Astyanax mexicanus: one gene and its partners. The protein of the gene in region 4 interacts with the protein of the main gene of each other region in a biochemical or structural test. Links are inferred from orthologs where the notes say so. Each region holds a gene or a part of one and is shown on either strand. Other genes may lie near its edges.

The links.
Region 1: the proteins of hsp90aa1.2 (region 4) and sgta form a complex in vitro, tested with the Homo sapiens proteins (2 studies listed by BioGRID, with this or other methods). The link is inferred for Astyanax mexicanus from reciprocal best matches to the Homo sapiens genes HSP90AA1 and SGTA.
Region 2: the proteins of hsp90aa1.2 (region 4) and tert form a complex in vitro, tested with the Homo sapiens proteins (2 studies listed by BioGRID). The link is inferred for Astyanax mexicanus from reciprocal best matches to the Homo sapiens genes HSP90AA1 and TERT.
Region 3: the proteins of hsp90aa1.2 (region 4) and hif1ab form a complex in vitro, tested with the Homo sapiens proteins (4 studies listed by BioGRID and IntAct, with this or other methods). The link is inferred for Astyanax mexicanus from reciprocal best matches to the Homo sapiens genes HSP90AA1 and HIF1A.

What each region holds. Positions count from the first base shown.
Region 1 is NC_064423.1:18,691,555-18,699,444, forward strand, and holds the start of sgta (small glutamine-rich tetratricopeptide repeat-containing protein alpha), read right to left. Parts: upstream 3,013-7,890; 5' UTR 2,913-3,012; intron 2,865-2,912; exon of another isoform or gene 2,846-2,864; intron 607-2,845; 5' UTR 564-606; coding exon 464-563; intron 361-463; coding exon 257-360; intron 155-256; coding exon 64-154; intron 1-63. Other genes in the region: thop1 (thimet oligopeptidase), read left to right, coding at 4,382-4,394, 5,842-6,048, 6,745-6,893, 7,399-7,506, 7,636-7,738. UniProt on the Homo sapiens protein: Co-chaperone that binds misfolded and hydrophobic patches-containing client proteins in the cytosol. Mediates their targeting to the endoplasmic reticulum but also regulates their sorting to the proteasome when targeting fails.
Region 2 is NW_026040049.1:365,237-373,087, forward strand, and holds the start of tert (telomerase reverse transcriptase), read right to left. Parts: upstream 3,017-7,851; 5' UTR 2,609-3,016; coding exon 2,399-2,608; intron 1,327-2,398; coding exon 1-1,326. Other genes in the region: nucleoporin NUP42, read right to left, coding at 4,329-4,867, 6,115-6,229, 6,358-6,444, 7,373-7,449. UniProt on the Homo sapiens protein: Telomerase is a ribonucleoprotein enzyme essential for the replication of chromosome termini in most eukaryotes. Active in progenitor and cancer cells. Inactive, or very low activity, in normal somatic cells.
Region 3 is NC_064408.1:70,074,947-70,082,891, reverse strand, and holds the start of hif1ab (hypoxia inducible factor 1 subunit alpha b), read right to left. Parts: upstream 3,008-7,945; 5' UTR 2,635-3,007; coding exon 2,603-2,634; intron 1-2,602.
Region 4 is NC_064408.1:74,162,818-74,170,117, reverse strand, and holds the start of hsp90aa1.2 (heat shock protein 90, alpha (cytosolic), class A member 1, tandem duplicate 2), read right to left. Parts: upstream 3,015-7,300; 5' UTR 2,852-3,014; intron 1-2,851. Other genes in the region: hsp90aa1.1 (heat shock protein 90, alpha (cytosolic), class A member 1, tandem duplicate 1), read right to left, coding at 3,447-3,556, 3,929-4,262, 4,368-4,636, 4,732-4,879, 4,974-5,164, 5,312-5,477, 5,581-5,880, 5,993-6,126 and 2 more. UniProt on the Homo sapiens protein: Molecular chaperone that promotes the maturation, structural maintenance and proper regulation of specific target proteins involved for instance in cell cycle control and signal transduction.

The DNA of each region.
Region 1 (7,890 bases), on a different chromosome or scaffold from region 4:
AAGGGACTAATTTAATCCAGTATTTTTTGTGAATATCAAAACAAACACACATTATATACATACCATCACTCTTAAGTCTTTCTGCCTCTGCTATCTGATCCTCTGTTAGGGGATTACTGGTAGAGTTGACTTTAACTTCAGGTGTGTTTTTTACCTGTCATAGATACACACAGTCTTTATTTACAATTCTCAAATCATAAATAATACCAATACTCTGTATCTGAACAGCAATATTAAAGAGAATATAGACTGCTACCTTTGGAGTGGCTTTTGCAAATAATTCTGGCAAAGTTTCAGTAACTTCTAAACTCTGGTCCTCCACTGAGACACTGAATGCTGTCTCCAGACACTGGATGGCAACTGGAAAGCAGTTTTAGTGATCAATCATATCAGTGTTTTAATTCAAAACCATAAACAAATATAAGCTTAGTAACCATTCATTCAGAACTGCATCAGTATTTACCTTCTAAACTTTCTTGAGCATCTGACGACAATTCCCCAGACCTGAGCTGGTCATGGAGAAACTGGATAATGGAGAAAGCGAGACGTTTTGTGTCTGTCATTTTGGCTGGAGAAAAAGCTCTCTCCAATTACTTCTGAGGAAATCTGAAATATAAGAACATGTGGGCATATGTTTAGCAGAATAACATCATCTCAAAAAGTAAAGTTCAGTAAAATTGAAAGCTTTGACTGTGAACTGCCTAAAGTGACCATACTCAAATTTATAATTACTAAACATGATCTAAGGCACATTCGGAGATCCTCCAGTGGGTTTTGTTCTATTGACAATGCTCTTCTCTGGAAGTGATAAAATCTGTTAACACCCAAGCCAGCAACTGGTGCATCATATCAGCACAAAAATAATATTTATTCCAAAAGAATAAATACAGTGCAAGTTTGGAGTGTGCATAATATATTGTTTAAATTCTTTCATGTTCAGGTCATGTTTCTATTTTGCTGCCTGACATAAAACACCTGCCCAACATAAATGATTTTATTGTCCAATATTTTATAAAGTGTGTTGCATTATTAGTAGGGTATTGGGTAATCTGTATTATTTTTCAATACATTTAGCTTACCTTCATTTTTGTTTATTTTTTTCCACCACTGTAAATTTGTGTGTTGTTTTTGGTGGTATTTTTGTCTTTATGTTTGTTATCTGCGTTAAGTCACAATTTTACACGTCGTGAAAAACGGCTCTAAATTAGCATCACGACAGGTGGGATCACCAATTTCCATACAGTGCAAGATACATCAGAGCTGGAATTTAGTAAGACCTGAAAATAAATTAAATCAAACTGGTCTTGTTTCTTTTTTTGATGAAAAAAAAAAACCCAGCCTAATATGATTTTTACTGCCCAATTTTTTGGACACATTTTCACTACATTTCGTTTTAATTTTTTAAGATGTCTTTATTTATTTTTTTTATTTTTTTTACCACCAGTGGAAATTCCTGTGTTTTAAATTATTAAAACAAGCAAACAATATAAGATTAATTAAGAAGAAATAATTTCAGAATAAAAGGATAAAATGTAAAGGCAATAAAAAATATAAGAATAATAAAAGACAAACACATTTAAAGAAATAGAGGAGTAAAATAACACCCAAATTATAAGGTAAATGACAGAACTAAAATAAATAATAAGTTTATAAAAAAAAGTATAAAAAATAAAAGGACAAAATAAACTAAATAAAATGGTAAAAGGTCACAAGTAAAACCAGTAATAAAACAAACAAAAGGATTAAATGAATCAAATAAATAAAAAGGCTAAAAAAATGATAAATAAAGACAAAATTAAATAAATTAAAAGGCAAAAAAAAAACTCAACTAAAAGCAGTTACAGGCTGACTGAAGGTGGCTAGAGACTACTAGTTTAAAATTATTTAGTGACTCAGTTTAGAATTTCAGGTAGTACATTCCAGCTCTCGGGTGCTGCACTGTAGCTAAAAGCAGATTTCCCAGTTCAGTAAAAACTCTAGGAACCGGACAGGTAATAATGCCTTTGGTGAGAGAAATTTGGCAAATTGTCATGGGTAAATAAGGTCTGCAGTAAGATTCACATCATAAGTTTAGGTTTTCAATAATTTAGGAACTGGTTGACCCCTTAACATAAATCATTACATAATTCTGGTGATTTATACTATATTTTTTCCAATCTCCTAATAATGACACATTTCAGTTAACATTACTTTAATTACAATGACTAATTACACTGAGGTCACTGTACTGCTAGGAGTACCATCCATGCAAGCACGAGATCATCAAGATGATTGCTTGTGTCTTAACTAACGTTAGCTAACCTCGCACATATACATAGTTACCTAACTATCTAACTAAGTAACAGTATCTGTCCAAGTAGGTTAACACACTTGCCTAACGCAGCCGAATCGTTCAGTTCTTTAATACAGCAGATTGTTCTGCTGCTGTCTCTAGTGAAATGACTTCATATGAACATATGACCCGGAATCTTCTAGCAACAGCTGGCTAGGTTAGCTAGTCTGATGATGTGTCCTCAACAGCTAACTAGCTATCAATTTAACCCCCTCAGCTGCTCACAGCGCTAAAATCATTACACTCTAACAGTGTAAACAGGAATACATGTGTTTATTATATCAGCAACTACCGGCTACACGCTGTCTAACCGTGCGTAACGCAGCTAGCTAAGCTAACTAAGCTAACCCGCAAGGGCTACCTCGATATCCAGCTCACTAACATTGTTTGCTAGCTAGCATTAGCATTAGCTCGTTTCGTTCAGAGTAAAGGCAGCTCAACTCTCAATAACAGCAAACAGCTTTTAAAATCTGCCCCGCTCATAAACCAGGTAAAGAGGTAAAGACGGCCTACATTGTGTCACTCAGCTACACTCCCGAGAATCACACCCAGACCTTTTCTCAAATCTTTTTATACTTACTGACTGTCCCACTGCAGGGATTTTCCTCGCTGCGCTCTCAGTCTGGCGTACGCTGCGTAATACGTAAACTCACCCCTCCGTGCGTAAAACCAGCGTAAAACGTACTGACGTAGCTATAATGTCGCTAAACATATGATAAAAATAAAATACTATCATCATTAAAACAATAGACGTGAACACGTATTCATGTCTATGATTAAAACATCCTCCCCAGTATGGGCTGCATTAAAATGGGAATTCATTTTATGAACAAATGTATTGGGAACATAACTAATTACTAAGGTAAAGAAATAATATATGCACTCATAAATATATATAATCTACACTAACCCCTTGTTTCATTATACCTATTTTATCTGTACCGTTTACTTTCTTTATAATCGTATTGTTATTTTTAATTACTTACATATTTTAGTCTTCTTTTTATTTTTGCTCATTCTTTTTATTTCTCTCTTTTTTTCCTCTTTACATTTTAGCCTGTCAACTTATCTTTTTGTTCTGAATAATTTAGATTATTCTTACTTAAATCATTATTGTTTGTTTTTATAATGCCTTTGCCATTTAATGTTTATTGTTTTTATAATTAAAATGTTAGAAGTTCACTAAAAAATTATGGTTGCCATCAATGTATTCTTGAGTGAAAATAAAGGTTAAAGGTTGTATAAATTATTTACAGCTAATTTTAATATAATCAGAACTATTCATGCCTCATTCAAATAAATAATTTCCCACTAATTGTAAGTAATCATAAATTAGTAATTTATTATTTATTTATTGTATAATATTGTCACAAAAACTTCATAATTAGTTAGATAATTTATTTATGCATTTAGAAGATAATATCTTTAATGTCCATGACACTGTAAAACAACCATAGCTAAATTGATCAAATAATTAATTAATTAATTAATTAATTAATTAATTATTAGTTATATGAGACATTTTTACTAAAATAGACAATTCTTAGTTAATTTAAGATATGTGTTTTGTGAAATAAGTGTTAGTTAGTGTGTTATATCAATATTCTTTACTAAACTCAGTTATTTTTTACAGATTATTTTATTCTGCAAGAAACTAATTCTAAACAAACGAGCATTAGCTAATTTATTAATTTATGAAGCAATATTTCAAAGAAAGTTTAAATGCTGTATTAAACATGATTCTGTTTTTGTGTTAATTCTTATAAATACATGCAAAATAGTCTGTAAATATTTCACATAATTCCAATTCAAACTCTCTTTTCCCACATTAAATGTATGTATTTCGTTTAAAAGTCATTCTTATCATTCTTAAATTTTTTTGTGTACTATCACTGAGCAGAAGAGGATTGGGCGGGGTTTTGTTGATTGACAACTCTCAGACCCAATCAATGAGTGCGAAATGGGCGGGAGGATACCACCTCACAGGGAAGAGCTATCACGGGCGGGCGGTGGAGCAGCGAGCATTGATTCAGAGAAACGCGTGGAAAAATGGCACCTACAGGTAATCTAGGTTATATTAGAAAAGTCAGGTAGATGTTTGACTATCACTTTTTAGTTACTTTCCTCTCTTTAGTTCAGTACTTTCTGCTAATAGTTAACTGAATGATGAACAGGGGTCTGAATGCAGCTCTACGATTCAGTAGGTTAGAGCAGCGCTGGGTATATGGGGTGTAAAGTACTGAGCTGGATTAACAGTGAACATAAACTGTAATGTTTAATTTAGAAACACCGCCATTACTCTGTTTTTACGAGCACGGTGGCGGCTACTCACTGCTGTAGTGTTCACACATACAGCCGTTTGCCGGTTATGAAAACAATAGCTAGCTAGCTGCGCAGGTTCTTGTGTTGTAATGCCGTTATGTTAGCTTGCCGGCTAGCTACAGTTAGCCTTCTGTGTATATGCACTTGTACTGAGCCGGACAGCTAGCTGTGTAGCTAACCGTAGTTAGCCTGCTGGTTTGATAGGTTAGCTAAGCGCCGTCACTTTAGCTTCCATTAATACCAGGAACACGTGTAGGTTAATATTATTTCCCCTATGGTTCAGTGACATGCAGGTTTGCGCTGGTGTTTATTGTGTTTTTTAAGCTGTATGTAAACTACCTTTTTTAGGGTTAGCTTTATATCGAACTGATTACAAATTCAGGGCGTCATTCTAAACGGAGCATTAACGTTACTAGACAAGCTGACAGACATATGTTAGCTAAGCTAGCTGAACAAACTCAGCTCTCAGCAATGCTTGAGAATTTTCCATATAACCATAAGATAAGATAAACAGCTAAGTTATACAGATAAAATATTCTGGCTTTGTTAGACATTTTAGTAACTTACTTTGCTTTTTAGCCCTTGCTGTTCTGCAAACAATCTGGACAATATATTAACATTTTCTCACATATCAACGATATCATTGGTACTCAAAGAACTCCGCATCAACTGTACAATGGTTTATCGTTTAGCCCAAAACTAAGAAATATACAGTGATATATTTTTTGCCATATCGTCCAGCCCTATTCTGTGACAAAACGACGAAAAAAAAATATATACATATATATTAATTGATAAATTAAACGATTCTGTCATTTTAACTACAGAGATCCAAAAAGATTACAACAAGTAAAGTTGGGCAAATATGTTGTACAAGTATGTTGTACTAATAGATATGTCTTGGAAGTAATAATACATGATAGGGCTGGGTGATGTACCAAAAATTGTATCAAAATATATTTATTCTTTTAGGTTGCTATACTAATAAATAAACTATAGTTATTGTGTAATGTATGAGGGATCTGCAGTTTAGTATGTTTTTTGTGGGTGTGGGGTTCTTTCTTTTCTTTTGGTTTGGTACAATACGATATGGGTATTATATCCCAAAACATACATTTGAAACCTAATGCCTTAAAAGCTCATCTCTTCTGATATTTGAAACACATGAGAGAAACTTTCTGCTTCAGGTGAAGTAGTGTTTGGCGGTGGAGATGGAGTTTGTGCTGACAATCGTTTGCGCTGGGACCTCACTCCAGAGCAGATCCATCAGCTTACGGATGAGCTTATTGCAAAGACCAAGCAAGTCTATGACTCTGTAGGATCCTTGGATCTAGATGCTGTAACCTATGAGAACACTCTGAAAGCCCTTGCTGATGTGGAGGTGGACTACACAGGTAATACTTCATGGTTTGTGATTGTGGTTGGAGCTTCTAATGCATTTAATACTTACTGTAATACTTACTGGTATTTAAAATACCAGAATAGACACATGAATGCAAATGTATTTCTACTTAATCTGGTTAGATCTATATACTGAGGATGAGTCCTCAACTTTTCTGACATCTTCACAAGATTTAAGCACAGATTGTTTCACACAACGAGCCCTAATTTATAACAAAGTGACCAGGTTTCAGTTATCACTATTGTGAAACAAAAAATAAAAAGGCTGAGTCAGCAGGGAAGCCGTATGCAATGGTACACACCGTTCAGCACTTTTTTACATAAAGACTGGCTGACTGACACATGCACAACAATAGTGTTTGCCATTGTTTAGTGTGCAGAGTGGAAGCACTGCAAGGCACCTATCTTGTGTAGGTTTTCTGTTGACAAAAAAAATAAATCAAATAAAATGTTATGGCAAAGTGTTATTACCTTTTTATTCAGTCCTTTTTCCCCTAATACAGAAGTATTGTCATGATGTGTTTTGAATTATGTGTTTTCATTAATGCTTCAGTTAGTGCCACATTAGTCTTTACAATATAATAATGCCCTATAAAAAGTAATATGAGGTATTAAACTGATTTCTTAGCATTAGTCTGAAGCCATTATTTATAACCTGTAACATCGCATCATCTCTGGCTCTTTTCCAGTCCAGCGGAACATGCTGGATTTCCCTCAGCATGTGTCGTCTTCTAAGGACGTGCGCACGGCCAGCACCGATGCAGATAAGAAGCTGTCGGAGTTTGATGTGGAGATGAGCATGAGGGAGGATGTGTACCAAAGGATTGTAGCGCTTCAGGTTAGGTTCCTAAATGTCTGGGGTGTTTTTTTTTTTTTATTAGGTTAAGGATGGAATCAATAAGGAAGACAGTAGGGCTGTGCGATATTAACAAAAAAATTCTTACAGTGCATTACTGGCTGATAAAGGCACGCACAGAACACCTCTCAGCCAATCAGATTGCAGGCTCAGAATTAACTGTAATATAAACCATATTTTGCATTAATCAAATATCAGTTATTAATAAAAAAGTCTTATTTTGTACTAGCCTGCACTTTTAACCATAATAATAATAATTGCTTTTTAAAATGTACATTTTAAAACAATATTTTTAAGGCATTTTTTTATTATTATTTATACATTTTTATTAAGCTTTTATGAAGCTTTTACCTACCAAAATTCCTCTAAGGCTGTGTTCATATTGCAAGCCTCTTTAAACAACTCTATAATGGTCTTCGTGGGATTTGATAGGTTTACGCATGTTGTTTTTCATCCTTCTACATCTGAAATGTTGATCATTTTTTAGGATAAACTGCAGGATGAGTCTATCACCCCAGAGGGTAAGAGATACATGGAAAGACTGATCAAGTTGGGAAAGAGAAATGGGCTTCACCTTCCTAAGGAGACACAAGAGGTCAGACGTTACAAAGACTCTGGGCACAAATCGTTCTTGGAATACTTTTCAGCTGAATTGATTCTTCTAAAATAAACTAACATGAGGAAAGAAATATCTTTTGCTGAATTGGTTTATTTCCTGTAATAGGAGATCAAGAAGATCAAAAAGAAACTGAGTACACTGTGTATTGATTTCAACAAGCATTTGAATGAAGACACCACTAGTCTGTCTTTCACTCGTGAGGAGCTGGGTGAGTACACAGCTTTGGAGTTCTAGTAAGATTGTGCACTGTATATGTAAAAAAACACTAACATTTAATAGAAGTCAACATATGTTGTAATAATGCACTTAATATATCAATTTTTCAATTAGAATAAACATTTTGTCAGACTGACAATAATC
Region 2 (7,851 bases), on a different chromosome or scaffold from region 4:
CCTCTCAAACCTTCCCATCCGCAGGAAGTGCTTCACCTGGGACAGGAAGGTCAGGAGGTTGTGCTCAGAGCCCCAGAGCTGGTCTGGAATGACGTAGCGTAGGACCTCCCTGACGAACAGGTACACCCTGTAGGCGGAGCAGTGGGAGACCAGCAGCGACAACATGTCCTCCTTGCCCTTGCCACCTGAGCACTTCTTACGCAGAAAGTGAGCATAGGGGCATTTTCTGTGTTTCTTTATTAACTGGCTGAAGATGGGCACCATGCTGAAGAAGCGTCTTGGAAGCTTCTGGGGCTTTGGTTCTGCTCCAGACAAGTAGGTGTTTCCCTGGAGGAAAATAATCCTTACAAGCTCCGCCCCTTGCAGGTGTTTAGGCCCGCCCACTCCACCCCGGACCTTCCTGTTAAGCAGAAAACCCTTCATGCCACGGCCACAATAGAGCATGCTCAGTACCCGGATGAAGCAGTGGGAGGGGCACGAAGGCGGTTGGTCACTTGGCTTCCAGCTGGACACACCCTGCATGGAGGCGTGGCCTGTCGAGGCTGGCTCCACCTTTTCTGGTTTCTGAGATTCTGTCTTAGCTGTCTCTATGGGATCTAAAAGACAGACGTTACTCTGTTCTTCATTGTCTACACATTTCCTTTTGGCCTGACTACGTTCGTCCTTCGCTTGTTCTCCTTCTTCTACTTCATTATCATCATTTTCTTCTTCTTTCTTTCTCTTTTTGGTGTTTTCAGTGTTGGAGTTTTCTATGTCAGTGTTCACTCTTGTACTACATGCTTTAGGCTGGTTCTCTTCAGTGGGTAAGTCTGTTTTTCTAGCATGATGCCTAATTTTCCTTGTTTTGCGAGTCCTAACCTTGGTTCCACTGGTAGAACCATCTGTTTCAATCCGTTCTTTTTCATTCTTTCTCTTGCTTCTGCTCACAGTAGTTCTGTTCTTCAGATCTCTTCCCTGGTCACTCCTTTTCCAGGTGACAGGTGGACCAGATGTGAGAAAAAACCCACACCAGCTACGTACAGGTACCATGTCATACAGAGGCACGCCACAGAGCTGCACCAGGCAGGAAGGGGGTGCTGTAACGAAGACAGCACACTCCTGCAGCAGGAACTTGGTGACTTCGGTACCCAGTCGCTGGTTTATCTTGGCCCAAAGCTCACTGCCGCTGATAAAGGCCGCACTCTGGGAAAGGGAGCCGTGGAACTTGAAGGGGTCCCAGTTCCCCTGGCGGTCGCTGTAGTGATAACCGAAGTTCAGGACATTCCTCCTCTTCTTCCTCTTCATGTGGTTCAGCACAAATGCCAACACCTCGGGCAGCGTGGCCAACTGGGAGAACAGGAAGTGAGATGGAATTTAACAACTTTTTACAAACATTTTATATCGTCTTTATAGAGCATGTACAGTACCAGTCAAAAGTTTGGACACGTCTTCTCATTTAATATTTTTTATATTTTTTCCTACATAGTAAATGAATATTGAAGTGATCTACGAAGCATGATGAAGTATTTAGATACTCTTATCTGAGGAGCTGTTTGTTAACTTGTGGTTTCTGAGGCTGGAAACTCTGATTAACTTATCCTGTACAACAGAGGAAACTCTCACTCTTCCTTTACTGAAGTGGTCCTGATGAGTACCAGTTCCATCAATAAAATGTTTTTGATGGTCTTTCCTTTAACTACATTTGAGGATACTCTCAAAATTCTTCTTTTTAGATTGACTGACCTTCATTTTATCGTACAGTATTTTTTTTTCTTTATTTAGTTGAGTAGTTGTTGCTTCTCATAATCTGGATTCGAACATTACTCAAATATTCACTATTCACTGTATACCTGTAACTCTACCTCTTCACTACTTTACTTTAACTGATGCTCTCAAACTTTACATTAAGAGACAAGAAATTCAAGTAATTAACTCTTGATGAGTTCAGCACAGCTGTTAACTGAAAGCATGAATTCCAGGAGACTCTACCTCATAAAACTGACTGAGAAAATCCAGCAGAGATGTTCAAAACTGATCATCTAAACAAGAGGAGATACTTTAAAGAATCTAAAATATAAAACATATTCTGGGTTGTTTAACACTTTTCTTTATTAAACAATTCAGTATATTTTATGTAGTATTAGAGTTTACACACTAAGCGATGTCCGTAAGATGAGGTTAAATAATGGTTGTTTCTCCATCATCAGCATTAAAGAAGCACTAAAGCTAAAAACTTATTGCATGTTTTCTGTTACCAGGGAAACCAGCAGCAGGAGGAGCTTAACTTCAACCACATGGCCCACACGTTGCCAGGCAACATATAAACTTCCGCATACGTCACTGAAGACTCAGAGAGAGGGTAAACCCAGCCACGTGTGAGCCTGGGCGATTCAGGTATCAGTAAACACAGTGAATTTACCTGTGCGCGGCTGGCGGCGCGCGGGAGGCGCGAGTCCGTGCACACCACGAGTCCCCGCATGAGACCGGCGAGGCGCGCGGGGTCCGTGTCCCGCAGCAGCGCCGCCCCGCGGCCATCCGGGTACTGCACGCTGTCCGCGAACTGCTGCAGCGTCCTCACCGACCCGTACACTCCCTGCAGCAGCGTGCACGCGCCCTGCACCCCGCTCATCTCAGCCCGCGTGCAGATCACTCCCAGATCACTCCTCACTTCATATACCGCCGCGCGCTCACCTCACCAACCACAGCTCCGCATCAACCCAGCGCTCAGTACCCGGATCACAATCAACACACAACGTGATTGGACAAGAGCTCGAGATCCCTTAAAGGCACAGAGGCACTGTGGCCACTTTATCGGAAACAACTACCTACTTTGCGCCTCTGGCCACTTTATCGGAAACAACTACCTATACGGTCTTTCTAGCCAGTTTATCAGATATGCTTACCTTGTCCTTCTGGCCCCTTTATCAGAAACACATACTTATCCTGTATTTTGGCCAAATTATCGGAAACACCTGCCTACCGACCTTGTCTTTCTGGCCACTTTATTACATATAACATCCATATATAACACTAAACCTACTGTTTTGACTTACTGGACACTTTATAGGTTGGTTGGTAGGTTGGTTGGTTGGTTGGTTGAGTTTAACGCCACATCAGCTCATCAGCTATTTCGTGGCAGGATAGGTATTGTTTATTCACAAGGTTCTATGATCTCGTCCTTAGATGTGGACTCTCAGTTTGGTAATAGTTAAAAAGTTCAGTACTTTGTTTGCATTGTCTTTGTTGAAAATGTCCATTAGTGTATCTGACAGGCAGATTTTTTGTTTTGTAGGTAAGTATTTTGGGCATTCGGTTAATATATGTTTTACAGTAATAGTTCGTTGGCACACATCACAATGTGGGGGTCTTTCGCCCTTCAGTAAAAAGTAGTGCGTCAGTCTGGTGTGGCCAATGCGGCATCTTGAGTAAATAACTTGATCCCATCTATTGTCTATATACGCGTTGGTAAAATGATCTATTTTGGGGTTGAGCTCGTACAGTTTGCTGTTTGTTTGGGTGTTCCATTCGTCTTGCCACTTCTCTTTGATGTATTTGTGAATTAGGGGCATTATATCTGTTGGTGGGAGTTTGCAGTTCGCTGTTTCGGCCTTTGATGTTCTTCTTGCTACCTGGTCTGCTTTTTCATTTCCAGTGAAGCCACTATGTCCTGGTATCCAGCAGAATTTTATATTAATATTTTCATTTGAAAGGTTGTGTAATCTATTCAGAATGGACACTTTATAGGAAACACCTACCTACCTCATGATTCATTGGTCACTCATTATTAACACAAATCAAAAACTAAGGACTTGTTTATTAAAAAAAACAACTTTATTATGATACAGCTGTACATTAGCCCCGCCCACAAAATGCCAGATACAAATGATACAAATAAAATAAACTTTACATTACTATGAAATAACAATCTGTTAAATTACAGAAACCTAATACTCTCAGTGTGCTCCTCATTAATCAAAGAGTAATCGATCAGCCAAGTTCTGATCAAAGCTAACGTAGCTAACAAGTCCTGGAATCTTCTAAAGAGTAAGTTAGCACTGGAGCGGTGAGGCTAACATAGCCAAAAAGTAATGGAAGCTTATACCCCACTAATTAGCATGTTTAAATATTCGTACACTGCGTTATATTTTAGGCTGTAGGTTATCTAAAACATGGAATAAATTATGTTAGCAGTGTTTATTAATTCCACAGTCTAATGATTAAGTTGTTTGTTAGCCACATTAGCCTCGTTAGCTGTACTGTAAAGCTAAAGTCTGGGCTGATGAATATGTATGTAGTAAACAGGGTAATCAGTTTAAGTGTGTTTTATTGTAAAATTGTGAGTCTGGCGTTTAGACCGTTAGCAGCTCCGCGGGCGGCGGTCTGAGGGGAATCTGACCCAGTGTGAATCGCTTAGCGCTGAACTCCCTCAGCTCATCCGGGGTGAGTTCACTCTGAGGGGTGAACAGGTTTTCTCCAGAAGCTGCACCAGCCGCTGGACCCCCACCGAACCCGCCGGCACCGGCCGAGCTAAACAGACTGCCGCCCCCTGCTGGAGCGGCGGATCCGAAGCCGCCCCCTGCTGGAGCGGAGGAGCCGAAGCCGCCCCCTGCTGGAGCTGTAGAGGAGGTGAAGCTGAACCCGGAGGCGGATCCGAAACCTCCAGAAGAACTCTTGCTCGCCACCGGAGAAGCGAAGGAGAAGGAAGAAGCTGTAGGAGTGGAGGAAGGAGCAGGCGAACCAAACCCACCAAACCCGGTGGAACTGGGCTGGGAACCTGTCGATCCAAACCCGGTGGAACTGGACTCGGAATTGGGCATTGTAAACCCGGGGCTGGCTGGAGCAAAGCTAAATCCACTTGCACCGTTTTGAGGGGCGCTGGATCCAAAACCTGAAAAAAATATATATTAAAGCTTAGCACTAGTGAGGTACATTTATGATTAGAATAGCATTATTGAAGTAAATGTATTATGGTAGCATATGGTAGTATGGTATGGTAGTATGGTATTATGGTAGCATTTATGATTAGAATAGCATTATTGAAGTAAATGTATTATGGTAGCATTTGTAAATGTAAAATTACAGTACCATTAGGTACCTGTACGTTTGTAGTAAAATTACTGAAGTAATTGTATGATCATAGTAGCATTTCTGAGGTAAATGTATAATTATAGTGGCATTTCTGAGGTAAATGTAGGATTATAGTAGCATTACTGAGATAAATTTATGATTATAGTAGCATTAATGAGGTAAATGTCTGGTTATAGTAGCATTACTGAGATAAATTCATGATTATAGTAGCATTAATGAGGTAAATGTCTGGTTATAGTAGCATTACTGAGGTAAATATGTGGTTATAGTAGCATTACTGAGGTAAGCGTATAATTATAGTAGCATTTCTGAGGTAAATGTACAATTATAGTGGCATTTCTCAGGTAAATGTATGATTATTGTAGCATTACTGAGGTAAATGTATGATTGTAGTGGCATTACTGAGGTAAATATATAATTATAGTAGCATTACTGAGGTAAATATAGGGTTATAGTAGCTTTACAGAGGTAAATGTATGCGTTCAGTTGTATTACTGAGGTAAATATATGATTATAGTAGCATTACTGAGGTAAATGTATGATTGTAGTGGCATTACTGAGGTAAATATATAATTATAGTAGCATTACTGAGGTAAATATAGGGTTATAGTAGCTTTACAGAGGTAAATGTATGCGTTCAGTTGTATTACTGAGGTAAATATATGATTATAGTAGAATTACTGAGGTAAATGTATGATAATAATGGAATTGCTAAGGTAAATCTATGAATATAATAGTTCTACTGAGGTAAATGTATAATCAGAATAGAACGGCTGAGGTTAATGTATAATGACAGTAGCATTACTGAAGTAAACATATGATTATAATACCATTACTGAGGTAAATCTATAATTATAATAGCATTTCTGAGGTAAATGTATGATTATAATAGCATTTCTGGGGTAAATATATGATTATAGTAGCAATTCTGAGGTCAGTGTATAATATAGTTGCATTACTAAGGCAATTTAATGATTATAGTAGCAATACTGAAGTAAATGTAAGATTATAGTAGCATTACTAAGGGAAATTCATCTGTGGACTCACCACCTGATCCGAATCCAGGTGCTGATGATGACAATGATGATGAAGATGAACCGAACCCTGACGATGGAGAGGAGAAGCCTCCACCCGAAGATCCCGGATTGTTCAGCTCTGATATCTGCAGAACAAACACAGATCAGACACCACCACTAATAATGGGTGTAGAAACCAGGAGATGTTTGATGGGTGGATGTATAGAGTGTAACTTGTAGAAAAGATTGTATTTGGTTCTGCAGGGTTCCTCACCATGGTGGTGCGGGTGGAGGAGCTCATGGTCCTTAGCTCCTGCACTCTGGACCTCCACTGATTGGCCAGCTGCTGTACGGAGTTCGCCTGGAACACACAGCACACGTCAGATCATCACATCTACACTACTGAACTACAGCTCCACCCGAACCACAGCTCCACCCGAACCACAGCTCCACCCAAACCACAGCTCCACCCAAACGACAGCTTCACCCGAACCACAGCTCCACTCAAACTACAGCTCCACCCAAACCACAGCTCCACTCAAACTACAGCTCCACCCGAAATAGTGCTTTCTGAACTACAGCTCCACCCGAACCACAGCTCCACCCGAACCACAGCTCCACCCGAACCACAGCTCCACCCGAACCACAGCTCCACTCAAACTACAGCTTCACCCAAACCACAGCTCCACCCGAACCACAGCTCCACCCAAACCACAGCTCCACTCAAACTACAGCTCCACCCGAAATAGTGCTTTCTGAACTACTGCTCCACCCAAACCACAGCTCCACCCAAACCACAGCTCCACCCAAACCACAGCTCCACCCAAACCACAGCTCCACCCAAACGACAGCTTCACCCAAACCACAGCTCCACTCAAACTACAGCTCCACCCGAAATAGTGCTTTCTGAACTACTGCTCCACCCAAACCACAGCTCCACCCAAACCACAGCTCCATCCAAACTACAGTTCCACCTGAACTTTAGCTTCGCCTCAACTACAACTCCTTCTGAATTTACAGCTCCACCCGAACCACTGCTCCACACAAACTAGTGCTGTCTCTGAACTACAGCTCTTCTGAACCACTGCTCCACCCAAACTACAGCTTCACCCAAAACCACAGCTCCACTCGAACCACAGCTTCACCTGAACCTCAGCTCAGACCAAACTACAGCTCCACCCAAACTACAGCTTCACCCAAACTACAGCTCCACCCAAACTACAGCTTCACCCAAAACCACAGCTCCACCTGAACCCCAGCTCAGACCGAACTACCCAGTCTGTACTTACGTAAGACTGTAGATCTCCAGAAGCTCTGCTGGTGTAGTACTCCATCCTCAACTCCTCGGGAGAGAGCTCCACAAACCCTACACACACACACACACACACACACACACACAAACATATACACACAAATATATATATATATATATATTGTTATATCAAAGTATCAGGATATTTTGTATTTTTTTTATTAGCTGTATTTTGGTTTTAAATTAGTGTCACAATATACTGATATGCTGAAGATCAGCATGCAGCTGTAATGTATATACAGTACCAAGTTCACAGTTTTAAAATGTTCTGTACTATAGATTAAAACTAAAATCATCCAAACTATGACGAAAAACATATGAAATTATTTAATAAACAAAAATGTGATTAATAAACCAGTATATATTTTATATTTTACATTCTTCAAAGTATCTCCTCTTGTTTAGATGATCGGTTTTACACATCTCTGCTGGATTTTTCATATATAATTAATATTA
Region 3 (7,945 bases), about 4.1 Mb from region 4:
AAAAAAACCTGACATCTAAAATGTGTTAAATTAGTTTCAATAACAGCATCTGTTTTTATTATATTGTGTAGTACATAAAATACAAATACCCACGTTTTTTGTAAAAGAAAATGCATGGCATGATTTCTAAAAAGCCATGACATTTTCATATCAAAAATCTAAGACAGATGTTTTTTGGCAATTTGGAAAAAAAAAACATTTTTTCAGACTAACCGCTGTGTCTATTTTTAAGAATAAGAAGCTGTCCTTCACGTGAGGTCAGCAATAATTTGTATTGCTTTGGACAGAGACAGTCCAGCTACATTTAGTGTGGCATGTGTTGCATAACACCAGGGCAGTAGTTAAGAAGAGCCTTGAAACAGAAATTAGGACCGACAGATTGGCCTGTGCCTGGACATTATGGGAGGGATTACCATGGGATTGATTCTGCACCACCGTTTGAAAACAAATACAAAACCACATATACTTGATCAATGATAATTCTAGTAATATGCTGGTATAGTACCAGTACAATCAACTGTGTACACAAAAACAATTATTTAAAAAGGTATGGGTTATTTAAACAAAGAATGGATCATACAAGGACACTGACCATTTAAATTATTAATTATACACCTGTGTGCTTTCAAAGATTTATGCATACTCATAGTTTTTGGAAGATACCCTTGAAATGGGGCAGCACTGACTTTCTTTTCACTTTCTCCTTTTCACTCCTTTCACTGACCATTCCAACTTAAAAACAAAATAAGATATATTCCAAATAATAAATTCATCAATTTTATAGTGATATTTCATTTAAACCACACCAACCACTCCATCTCAACCAGACAAATGTGAACCCCAAAGTGACAACCACATTGTAAATTTTAAATCCCCTTTAACCCCTCACAAAAAGGCATACCCAAACAGACATGAAATAGTGAAGTGTGCCTCACACATCCTTTCTTTTCTGACACAGTTCTTGCAAATGTCTTGCCACAGAAGTAAGCAGGAAATCCCATTGACGTCAACATCTGTGGTGAGTAAGAGATGATAAAAGAGGAGCAAAACAGCATCCTTTAACAGCTAAATTTGACCTAAATATTGATTTTGTGAAAGTCCTAATAAATGAAAACATAAGTTAATATATACAGTACCAGTCAAAAGCTTGGACACATCTTCTAAATCAATGTTTCTTTATTCCTTCAATCAATTTATTTTCTACATTGTAGCACACATTGTCCTGCACAAGCCCCTGACCTAAACCTAACTGAAATGGTGATTTGGGATGAGCTGGAGCTTCACAGAGTGAAGGAAAAGCAGCAACTATTGTTCAGCACCTCTAGGAACTGCTCCAATACCCTGAGAAAACTATTCCAGGTGACCCTACCTCGTAAAAATAGAGATTAAAATACCAAGAGTGTGCAGATCTGTCCTCAAATACAAATGTGGTCACTTACAATATATATAAAACATAATACATATTCTGGATTATTTCCAAAATATTTCACGTGTTTCTGCCTAGGTATTTTTTTTAACAGTCTTCAATATTAAATGTACACTATAAAAAAATCATAAAAAAAAGAAAAATCCACTAAATGAAAAGAGAGGTGCCAAAATTGTGTTTGGTAATGTATATTGTTACTATGTTCTGACAAAAGAGACAATTAGCTAGTGTGGAGTAGAGGTTGATTTTTTTTTTACATGTGTGCAGGTTATACCTAAAAATAAAAAATACCACATATACGTCAGATGAATCTGATCTGATAAAAAGGTTTAATACTATGAAAATACTGTTTTATAAAGGCAAACCTGTTTCCAGCTGAGGGTCTGAATGAAAATAGGTCACGTCTATAAGCTATAATAAACGTAACGAAGGGTTAAAAATCCCAAATCACATCAATTGAGAATCCCTTCTTTACAAAAACACAGAAACTCTGCAGTTTTAAGTCATCTGAAGCTATTTAACAGCAGCTTTTTTAACACACTCACTCCTCATCCTCCTCCTCCGCACCAGCAGTCAGTCCATGCCACGCTGACGCACTTTACTCCAACCGTTATTAAACATTTCTAATAAATATATATATTAGAGCTGACCCCTCTCTCTCTCTCATTCACCTTCAGTTTGTAGTTAACAAATTTTAAGCCACAAAAAATAAATCATCCGGTCGCTTATCTTTTACACACACACACACTCAGCTCCAGCCGGCGCAACACAAATCAAGGCAACTTCTTATTAGCTAAACTAAGCTAAGCTAGGTTAGCGTTAGCATTAGCTGAACCGCTGTCTGTGCTGCCAACGCAGATACAGACGCAGCCCGTGTTTTCGGCGTATATTCAAAATAAAACCGACACAAAATGTCCCCGCTGGAGAGATTTCAACAGCTACAGACGGTCCGAGTGCTGAGGTGCTGGCGTTTTTCGCTTGTTTGTAAACTTGTCAGCAAATTGCCTCAGACGCCCCCCAAGCACAAAATGGCGACTCCGCTAGGAGGACGGTTGTTTGCTAGCCTCCGCTAAGCTAACAGCTAACAGCAGCAGCAGAAAGGTGAAAAGGAGGAACAGCCTCTGTCTGCAGGTCAGAACAGCACAATAACACACATACAAAATCCGTCCGCCGTACCTTTTCTTTTCAGTGGCGACTCCAGTATCCATTCCTGGGTGAAACCTCCTAGTGTGTAAGGTTTTTTTTTTTCCCGAAGCGCCGGCGCAACAAAACAGCGGCTAGCGGCTAACGCTAGTTCCAGACCCGAGAAAGAGAGAGGATGAAGGACGTGGCCACCTGTCCTCCCCGAAAAACACCAACAAACCGAGCTAAACGCGGCCAAAAACACCCGCTAACACGTCTCCGCTATGTCTCTTGTACAGCCGAGTTCAAGAGGTCGCCCCTCCGTGGTCCTGAAGGTCAGAACATCTGTGTGTATTCCTGCGGTGGGGTTCTCCCCGGCACAAAGAGAGTTAAGTGCTACAGTCTAATGCTGCTCACTGAGGCTCCGCTACTACTACTCTCTATGTGGGCTCGTTCATGATTACGGGAGCGCGCAATCACATGTTCCTCTGGCACAGAGACAGAACCGGGCTCTGCACAAACGTCATCGAAAAACAAGCCCCCACACTGCAGCTCCAAACACACACACACGAGATACTGATACCTATATCACACCTACAGACCTTAATTCCACATTATATTACCCAGTTAATAACCAGGGTGACATATCTAATACCTGTATTTAACCCTTTCAGACCTTGCACTCATTACAATGGACATCATGTATTTTTTTTATTTTTAAATGTTTTGTTGCACATTACGCAGTTTGATAGCTGACCATGAACAACCCAAATGAACAAGTTTATCAACCAATTAAACAATAAATTGGCCTCGCCCATTGCACTGAATTTTTAAGCAATTTTTAAAAGTACAATTTTTATTCATGTTTTTTTACTGTTTAGGGACGGTTCACGAAAGAGAAATGTCAATATGAAATACTACTACTAAATAAAATATTACACACAGGCATCTAATGCAGCGGAAATAAAAATAAACTATTAAATATTTTAGTTAATTGGATTTGTTTGCTATATAGATGTTATAGTATAATATTAGAGTCTTTTCTGTGCATTTCAGACAGAAAACAGCATTCTTAAATGTTTTTTTTCCTTCACTGGAGATAATTCAGCTCATTGAATTCAGCTGGCTCATTATGACTGCTTATATGTCACCACTGGTTTATATGGAATCTCACTCTCTTTTATATAATTAGTTAGCTGGTTACAGTATAGTTACAGTCATTTAATACAATTCTAAACTGTATACATTTTAGATACATTATATCAATTATTATGTATTAATATTACGTATTAATAAGTTCAAGCTTTTGTTGGCACTGTCTCTACTGACTTCACTGTCCGGGGAGGTCTTTATAAGTCTATTTGTAAGTCTATGTTTCATAAAACTTAAGTATTTTACTTTAGTTATACAATATATTGAGTACTACTGGACATGTACATCATATTAAGCCAATTAGTTCATCTTTATCTGCTCAAGAGAATCCTATTTTAGTGGTTCTCTATAGGAACTACCATACTACTGTGTGTGCATTTGAACATCTGTGTCAGCAGTGGGTGCTGCCTAAATGTAGCCTAAAATGCAGCCTAAGTGCAGCCTAAATTTCAACATATAGTATATATACACTGCATTATGCAAATATAAGCTGGGTATATTAGTGGTTGGTGTTGTCGTGTGGGTGACAACATTAGCTTTATTGTGGTAGAGCCTGGTTTGACTCTGTGGTCAGGCCATTACACCACACTACATCAGTATCTTTCATTTAGTGAGTAGTGTAAAATTACTCATATTTATGTTTAGATCCACAACCAAATGCGGAAATCAGTTTATAGGAAAGACAGGTCACAAAAACGGTTGACATAATGATGCCAAACAATGACTGTCAATGACTGCAACACATTACATTTTAACTCAGGATTATATTGTTAATTGTATTACACATATATATCATTGTATGCCAATGTCTTAACTAATGTTAACCTAATGTTTCAGTGCTTTCACTGTATTCACCTTGTTTTTTCAATATTTCCAGAGCCAATTCCAGTGTTTGTGAACCCTTAACAGCATCCTGTTTGGGCAAATCCATCCACCCCTATAATATTATTTTGTATAGAATTTGAAATCATTTTTGTTTTCATTGTGAATAAAGTTTAATTACGGGCAATGAATGTCTCAATAAACAAAAATCAACAAAATACAGGAAATAAATAATATTGTAGGAGCATGTAACCCACAATTAAATAAATATATTGTTGTCAGTAATCCATCATGTCTTAATAAGATGTTTTTCGGCAAACATCATGGCAGACACAAAATCAATATTCACACTCAGTTAAAAGAAGCCTTGAATGTTACAAGGTCTATGTCCTAAAATAGGTCATGTCCAATACTTTTGGAATATGATTTAGAAAAATTAGCAAAATTATTCTACTGAAAGGTTGTCACTGTTACACTGTGATGATGTTATATACAGTACAGAAAGTGAGACTGTCTGGAAAGCTTTCCTTTTGGGTGATGTCACACTCTAACTAAAGCTGGAAAGACTGAATTATATAGTTGTGGTAAAGTAGATATTTTGCTTCCTGTTCCTCGCTCTGTGGAAAACAGATGGAGACAGACAGAGGAAGAAATAGATACGGACAGACAGACAGATGGAGAAAAAGAGAAGAGTACTACTATTATAGAGGTTTAGTTTTTTCCATAAATATGAAGTATTTTACTTGTTTTATACAATATAGTACTGATGTAAAATATAATTTTTTTAACCATTGTTAATTAGTTCCCATAACAGTACTACTGGACATATACACTATATTGAGGCTTAACAGCCAAGGTTCATTTAACTATTAAGAGGCATTTTAGCTTTTTAATGTTCACAAAATATGTTTTACAACATTGCTATTACAGTATTAACCACACAAACCAACTGTAAAGACAAATTATAAGGCAACAGAAGTGTACATATATATTTTTGCAAATTGCAGTGTTTACAGTTTTTGTACCCTGTTGGTTGGTCAGCCAGTAAGTCCACTTCTTATGGGTATAGCAAGGAAAACATTAGGCTGTAGAATATTAACTACCATAAAACAGCTGTGTAGACTGACTGTGAGCGCCAAACACAAGGTCCTGGCTACGAATAAGAGCCGGATTCCACAACTGTGTGTTAGAGGATTTCTGACAGTTTGAAAAAGAAACAATGGTTGTTGTACAGGATGGGGGTGCAGCTCCAGTGTTGGAGGGCCAGTCTCCAGCAAGGCTTAGTTGCCCAACCCAAACACACCTGATTCAAATCATCATTTCATTACCAGGCAAAGTAGGTGTGTTTGGGTAGGGCAACTGCCAGACTTAGCTGGATACCGGCCCTCCAGGACTGGAGTTTTTCTGAAATAAGGAAGCTTGTGTAGACTGTCTATTTGTTGTTAACGAGTGCTCCTTAAAGGTCACCTTCCGTCGTTTTTTCTTTCATTTTAAAATGTCTAGTTGTGGTCTCTAGCATGAATGAATGACATGTGAGCCGTTTTTGTAAAAAAAAAAAAAGTGCTCAGGTGTCTCTGTATAGCTCTTTTTTAATGGACTGTTTTAGGGGTGTGTCCAAAATGACCGGATTCCAGCTTTGCTCATGAATACTCATACATGCAAACAGCATGCAAATATCTCTCCTCTGATTGGCTAGGAGCACTGCGACGCCCCTCCACCGCTCTGCCGCTCACTGCCTCCCACCTCCTAACTGATGAGCGGTGATGTTGCGTCGCTTCAGCTCCGCCTCTGGGAGTTTCTCGAGCCAAGGTGGGCTGGTCTGTGAGTTTCTGCCTACGTAGGCAGAAAGATAATTCAAAATTCACCCGTTTTTCGGAGGGGGGGGAGGGGGGATTTCTTTGCTTAGCTCCTGCAGACAATGGGGGCTGCAAAACAGTTTAATGTGCAGGTGTACACATTCAACTCGGAGAGACCTACTGTATTCCACAAAAAACAAGAAAAATCGGATTTTCGCGGAAGGTGAGCTTTAACAACAAGTGAATCACATAAGCACCAATGTGTGATATGAGGAAGAGCCAGGAAACTGATGTGATGTACTTGAGTGATGTTGGACCAGCAACAGATATTGGCAGTCTAAAGTGGCATTCCTTTTTTCTTCTTTTTTAATTGAAAGCAGAAGCAGTAGTATTTTAGTAGAAGCAGAGTGAGGGAGGGGGACAAAATATTTTAATAAATTGAATTAGTGTGCTGGCACAGCCATCACTGCAACTTTATAATCTTTAATATATTCATTTTAAAAACAGAGTGATCTGGAAAGTTTAGGCAGGAGTTTTTCGCAACAGTGTCTGGCCTTGTCACTTGCTGTTGATGTACTCAGGTCAAATGCACAGCCTTTGAAAGATGATTCAGCATATATTGCTGGTTAGCTAAGCAACTGTAAAAAGGGGGATCATGCTAAAACAAGTTTTAAAAGTACTCTTTTGCACAATTACACATTCTCACCAGAAAGGTCTCTAAATCCCCGATTTCCAAAACGTATGCACCACTTAAGGTTTAAAGCATTTGCTCAAGGCTTTTCAGTAAAAGTTATTTTTTTAGAGTATTCTTATTGTATATTGTACTCAGTGTACACTTGTAAATGATGGGGACCTTGTGGATGAAATACATTTCATGTACAGTGTGTGTCTAATGATTGGTGCAAGGCCAGTTGGAAGTTGTTATTGTGACCCCCTGCACCTGGTCTTGGTTAGGGCTTCTTGCTTTAATTTACAGGGTTATGCAGAAGCCATATTAGTGGGAGAAAGCTGAAATGCCTTTAATTAAGGTGAAATACTGCATCAGAAACATTTGAGACAATACAATTGAGACAATATGTGAAAGGATATTTTTAATCCACACTTGTGCCATTTAGGTATACAGTTTCATACTGCAGATTGAATAAAGTTTAGTTGGTGAGGCAACTTATTAGCAGTAATTAGCAATGACTGCCATGACTAAAGAAAAATGAAGTAGGCAGAGATTTAACCCCTTTCACAGAGTACAGCAGTCCAGGAATAGTCTTGCATGTCTAAAAAAAACATTAGCTTATCTCCTACCATTCAGGGAAGATTAGTGAAGCATGTGCCAGGTAGGCACTGGGACAGTGAGTGAGTTATATAACTGGACATTTTAAGTCAGTGTCCATATCAGGCAAAAAAGATAACATTCATAACTGCAACCCATAAAGTCAAAATGCAGTATGCAGTTATGGTTATAACAGATACTAAAGTATGCAAAAGCAGAACCAATGTAATATTGTTATATGACATAGTAAAAAAGCTACAATCAAAACTAAAAAAATAAAGCACCTTTTTTCAGCTGTCAGGTCAAAGAGAGAAAAACAAAATACAAGCCACTGGGAGGCTTGTAAAAAAAAAAAAAAAG
Region 4 (7,300 bases):
ACCATTTAATACCAATAAAGTACACATAAGAGTTTAACAATGTAATAAAGCATTTATATATTGTTTTAGAAAGCACCGTACTTTAACTACTAAGAACCTTCAGATATGGGCATTTTAATGGCTTTATGTTTTAATATCCTAAATAAAAGATAAATAATATAAACCACTGTTTGAAATAAAGTTGACTGAACAGCTCATTCATGTAAATAGGCTTTTCTTTCCAAGTAAACACATACTGAGGTCTGCAAAAATGACTTAAGGTTATGGCCATACATTATACAAGTATTTGATGATGTAATCATCATGATAGGCATATAATCAATACAGCTTGTGCTGAACAGTTGGAAGGGTGTTCTTTTCATCGTTTTTTGCAACAGTAGGTTTGTTCATCACTGGATTGGACTGTTTAGATAGCAGGTGCTTTGAAAACTTTAAACATTGACTTTTGTAGTGAAGACACAGGAAAGGTTTTCCTTGTATTTGTGCAGGTGTCACCATTAATATGATTTCCTAGAATTCCTACTAATTCTTCTACACATAATGTACGCATGTTTAAATATTTTATTTGCATTATGTGCACAATCGTCACACCACAAGATGCCCGATGTCACATAATGCAACTACTTGCTTAATATTTAAAAAAAATACACTATAATATCTTGTCATGTTTGGATTCCTGATTTCTGGAGGAATCCTGGTAAAAATACCTATATTTCCCATTTCGGTGTCAATTTCAGTGCCTGTACTGAAGAACAGCAAAATAATGCAATGATTTTTAATTATATACATTTTGACATCAGTTAATCTTAATCTATAATGCAGACATGTTTGATAATGGGAGCCTAAGGTTTTTGCATGACTTTTTTTTTGCATTACCGTGTTAACACATGCAGTTAATCTGGAAACTTATCATGATTTAGTCACAGAATATTGTAGTGATTAGTATAATTATTTTTTAAGGGATTGGCACCAATAATACTAATCTAAGTGTTTGTAATACTTATTATTTTAACACATTTAAATACCCATTACGAACAGCTTAGTCTTAAGGAAGAAAAGTGTGTTAAATCATGATTAATAGCTATTATTTTTTAATTAGTACATTTTTTTTAACTGATTGACATCACTTATAAATTACTAATACTGCTTTGACTAAAGAACTCTTGTAGAACCACATTTTCAATTGTGTGCTTTTAATGCTGTTTACAGTCTTATCAAGCCATTGTATTAGTTATATAGAAATGACATAATCACTAAAAAAAGGATTAAAAGCTCACGTGCAATGCTGCGTGTATAAACCCCACCCGCCCATACTCACTAGCTATATTATTCATACTACTCTCACTACACTGATGAATGCAGCAAGGCCAGCGCCGTGTGTAAACTAGCTATTCACACTATTATTAATCACTACACCCTGTCTCCTTATCGATCATTTCTCAGGACAGGTCTATGGCCACATGGCTTAGTGATCCGATGGCAGAAAGGCGCCACCTGCTGGTCAGAGCGATGTACAGCACGCTTCTAGAACTTACCAGCCTCGCGGCGCAGCAGCACATGCATAACAATCCATGGAGAGCTGTGGCTCTCAAACACTGCTATCCTATAACTGTGAGCATGGCGGCCACATCAGGTCCTGACAGAGTGCATTAATCAGACTAGATAAGATAGACAGACTCCTAGCTGTGTAATCTTGCAGTATAGTCAACAGCACAGTTTTATTATTTAACCTAAGATAACATTGAGTATTTCCAGCAAAGGTGCATTAATGTCTGTTTTCTTACTGTAACAAGTTAGCTAGAGTTATATAACCTATGTTAGCTAGATTACATACACTTTATGATGAAGTCTATTCAATTTAAATGGCTTTTATTGTGACGATTTAACGAGGTTAAGTAGGTTAGATGTTGTAGGGCACAGTGTTCTTGTAGGATGCAGGTTGTATCGATGTGAAAATCATACTAATCTACACTAGCTTAGGGTAAAATAGCTGAAGCCAAACTTTGCAATGGCCATGGTCAATTAGCCTTCATCTCTCTCTCTCTATCTGTATGATCAGCCTAATGCCGGTGATGCCTAGGAGGCGATATTCACTTAGCTTAAGTTAGCCTGCCATCTGTCCAACCGGGGGGTGTTCTGTCGAATTGTGCTACCTTGTCAAACTGTGCTATCTTAGGATATATTTAACTGTAAAAATACAAAAGAAGCTCTATATTACAGCATGGTTCCTGTAGAAGTCCCAGTAGATGCAGAGTTAATATAGTTGGACAGCGTAAATCACTCTATCATGGTAAAGTTATGGCAATGAGAGCGCATTACAAACTGCTTTTGTATTTTTTTTTAAATAATTTAATTAAATCATAATTTTGTATTTATTATTATTATTATTATTTTTATTACTATTATTATTATCTAGGTTGTTTATTGCACAAAAACACTCAAAATACAGATTTATTATTAACAAAAAATACGAGTAACGTTAATAATCACAAAAATGTACGTCAGCGCATGCGCAGTGCCTTTAGGAAGCACGTATCGATGGGTAGCACAACTCGACAGAACACCGGCGAGCTAACGCTAACCTGCAGGAACATTTCCATTCTGAACTAACTGAAGAAGTTTAACACTAGAGTTAATTCATTATTATTAACAGTATTAGTACACAGAGCTACAGCTGCCATCATGCACAACGTTAGGTTAGCTAACCCAGATTATTCAAACCAAACATACCTAGTTAGTTAGTTATGTTAACTGTGTCTCCGGATTTAAATATATGTAGGCTACAGTTATAAATTTAGCTCCTCCTTGTTTTATTTATCTGACTGATAATCCATGCCTCGACCCGTCTTACCTCGACAGATCCTGACACAGGGTCGTGCTGGAATGCTGCTGTGTGTGTGTTGGGTACGTGTGGTCCTCTCCGCGGCTCTGAGCGCTGTAACACTGTCAGAGCTGTGAGAGCCGGGCTTATAAAGCGCTGGGCTCGGACTGTTCCAGAAGCCCGCTGATCCAGAACACTCGAGAATCTTCCCTGCGCGCGCTCTGTTGCAGGAGCGGGGCGGGACTAAGCTCTGTCTATCAAGGCACTGAGAAAGAGGGACTGGTCCTATGTAGCTAAATGTTCTTTAAAAATTGTTCTAAAAAATATTAAATGAACAACAACAAAAAAAATCACCACAACTCATTTAATTTCTGCACAATATTTTATTAGAAAGTTGCTTTGCTTCCTTAAAAAAGTTACACCATAAAAAAAACAAAATTAAAAATGATATATTTTCTAATCACAAACTCCGACAAGGCACAACATATCTTCCAAAACAAAACTAATCGAAAGGTTAAAGAATAAATAGACTATCTAGCTAGGCAATGTGTTTCAAAATTAAACAGTGTTTAAATTAAACAGATTTACATTTAGATTTGTTCTGTGCTATTTCTACTTCAAAATCTTAGTCAACTTCTTCCATTCTTGATGTGTCATCGTCTCCCTCCAGGACAGGCATGTCCTCCTCAGTGGGCTGAAGAATGTCCTCAACCGCCGAATCATCATCATCAATGCCTATTAAAGAAAAATAAGGATGAAAGTATTAGAAATGTAGCTTTTTCCATGTCATTTGTGTGCCACTGCCTCTGAAGCATGGGTGTGACATCTGATATCCCTGCTTTAAAAAATCCAGCTCAAGACCAGCTGGTCATCCTATACTGATCAAGAGCTGGTTAACGAGCTATCCTATCCTGTCAGCAAAGGGTATGTTTTACTGGATGACCAGCTGGTCTTGAGATGGATTTTTATAGAAGCATTAGCTGCATAGGGCTGTTATGACTGCAGGTTTTTAGAAAGAAAACCTGCAGCCACAACAGCCTTCTTTAGGTAAGGTCTGACACCCCATATCTAAAGTAAGCATACACATGTTTTTGGCTTGCAACTCACCAAGACCAAGTTTAATCATTCTGTAGATGCGGTTAGCATGTGTCTGTGGGTCCTCCAGGGTGAATCCAGAAGAAAGTAGGGCAGTCTCGAAGAGCAGAATAACAAGGTCTTTCACCGCTTTGTCATTTTTGTCAGCCTCAGCTTTCTCTCTCAGGGTCTCAACGATGGGGTGCAGGGGGTTAATCTCTAGATGTTTCTTGGCAGTCATGTAGCCCATGGTGGAGTTGTCCCTCAGAGCCTGCGACTTCATTATCCTTTCCATGTTGGCTGTCCAGCCATATGTGCTGGTAACGATGCAGCAAGGAGAGGCGACCAGGCGGTTGGACACAGTAACCTTAATGGAGATGAAAGATTGGTTATTATACAACAGTTTTAATCTCAGGTTGAGGGCACTGTGTGCATTATGTTTGTTAGAGATTTAAGTATTTTTTGTGTTTACCTTTTCAATTTTCTTATCCAGAATGTCTTTCATAATCTTGCAAAGGTTTTCAAACTTGGTTTTCAGTTCATCTTGCTTTTTCTTTTCTTCTTCATCTTCAGGAAGCTCCAGACCTTCTTTGGTAACTGACAACAGGTTTTTGCCATCATATTCTTTAAGCTGCTGAACACAGTACTCATCAATGGGCTCGATCATGTAGATCACCTCTAGGCCGGCTTTGCGTAGACGTTCCACAAAGGCAGAGTTGGCCACCTGATCCTTTGTCTCACCTGGAGGAAAGGGGGAACATATGTTTTAGTTAAGTGATATTTAAGACCAATAATGGGTTTTTGTGCTATTTAATAATGAATGCCAAATAACTAACCAGTAATATAGTAGATGTGCTTCTGGCTGTCTTTCATGCGGGACACGTAGTCCTTGAGAGACACCATCTCATCACCAGAGTTGGAGGTGTAGTAGCGCAACAGCTCTGAGAGCTTCTTGCGGTTCTGAGAATCTTCATGGATACCAAGCTGGAAAAGAAAAGGAAATGTGAGATGTTTATGTTTCTATTTTTTATTCATGTTATTTTACCAATTCTTATGATTATGATTAATGCAAATATACCTTGATGTTCTTGGAAAACTGCTCATATAACTTCTTGTAGTTGTCCTTGTCCTCTGAGATTTCAGTGAAGAGCTCAAGGCACTTCTTGACCAGGTTCTTTCGGATGACTTTGAGGATCTTGCTCTGTTGCAGCATCTCTCTGGAGATGTTTAGGGGCAGATCCTCAGAGTCTACCACACCCTTCATAAAATCTAATAACATAAGAGGATGGTAATTTAATTAGCAGGCATTAAATGTCACATTTACAGTACAATGCTTTTCGTGGTGTCAATCAGAAGTAAAATTCATATATATATTTTCATGTTGGATATCGGTTTCAGGAAAATTGTGACACTTACTGAGATATTCAGGCATTAGCTCCTCACAGTTGTCCATAATGAAGACTCTGCGCACATAGAGTTTAATGTTGTTTCTCTTCTTCTTGTTCTCAAAAAGATCAAAAGCTGCCCTTCTTGGCACAAACAGCAAAGCACGGAACTCCAGCTGGCCCTCCACTGAGAAGTGCTGTATGATGGAGTAAAATATGTGTGAGTATTTGAGAAAAAAAAAATCTAACAATAGAGGAAAACATATTTTAGATTTATTTTTAATACTTAAACCAACTCACCTTGACTGCAAGGTGATCCTCCCAATCATTTGTAAGGCTTTTGTAGAACTCGCCGTATTCTTCATTGGTGATGTCATCAGGGTTACGGGTCCAGATAGGCTTGGTCTTGTTCAGCTCTTGGGCATCAATGTACTTTTCCTTGACCTTCTTCTTCCTCTTGTTTTTGTTACCCTTGCTGTCCTCATCCTCATCGGATCCCACATCCTCAATCTTGGGCTTGTCTTTGTCTTCAGCAGCTGGTACCTCCTCCTCCTTCTCTCCCTCTTCCAGATCAACCTCTTTTTCTCTCTGTTTCTCCACCTATGCAATGATGGTTAAAAAATGTTTATAAAGAATGACACCACATTAATGTTGTGCAAAACATTTACTGAATTACAGAAAAAATCCTGTCAAATATATTAGTAGCACTTACAAAGAGAGTGATGGGATAGCCGATAAACTGTGAGTGCTTCTTCACAACTTCCTTGATGCGCTTCTCCTCTGTATATTCAGACTGATCTTCCTTTAGATGAAGAATCACCTTTGTGCCACGACCGATAGACTCACCTGCAAATCCAAAACACAAATGTAATACTGTACAATTTTTAAGCCTTTTATGTGTGTGTGTTTGTCAAATGTTTGTTTTGATATCCTACCATTGTCTGGCTTAACTGTAAAGGATCCCCCAGCTGCAGACTCCCAGACATACTGCTCATCATCATTGTGTTTGGTGATGACTGTGACTCTCTCTGCTACCAGGTAGGCTGAGTAGAAACCCACACCGAATTGGCCAATCATGGAGATGTCAGCTCCAGCCTGCAGAGCCTCCATGAAGGCCTTGGTTCCAGACTTGGCAATGGTGCCCAGGTTGTTGATGAGATCGGCCTTGGTCATGCCAATTCCAGTGTCAATGATGGTCAGTGTGCGGTTCTTCAGGTCAGGAATGAGCTCAATCTTCAGGTCTTTGCAGGACTCAAGTTTACTTGGGTCTGTCAAGCTCTCATATCTGATCTTGTCCAGGGCCTGTGAAGTGGAACGAAGGGTGAAACATAGAAAAATACATTAAACATTAAAAAGAGCAAAAAGTGTAATTTCTATCAGAACAGTAGCTTAAATCTTGGAGCGTCGTTGTCCAAATAAGGAGGAAGAACTTACATCTGAGGAGTTTGAGATGAGCTCTCTGAGGAAGATTTCTTTGTTGGAATAAAAGGTGTTGATGATCAGGGACATCAACTGAGCAATTTCAGCCTGAAAGGCAAAAGTCTCCACATCCTCCTCCATCACAGGCTGGGCAGCTTTCTCTGGCATCTGAAAGAAGCATAATGTAGTTATTAATAATAGTAGTAGTAGTAGTAGACCTTTTATGCTAAGAGTGCATAAAGGCGTAATTACATATTATTTGTATGTTATGTTACAAATACCTTCCTACTTTTTCCTACATTTTAATTGCTATGCAAATTCAATGTAATAAGTGTTTAAGGTTATTACTGCTTGAAAAGTGACTAAAGATTAATTGTTGCATTCAAGATTTTTTTTTATTATTAATTTAAAATTTTATATTTTTTGATAATGCAAATAATATTTTTTCTCATTTAGCTACAAGAATGCAAATTTTTGAAAAGCAGGGCTAGTACAGAAAATGCCAGCTGCTCACACTCCTCTACACATTTGGCACCAGCTGCTCTTACAGCACCTGTCAGGCCTTTGATTGGGGGAGGAGTGTCATATGTTCTTCATATAA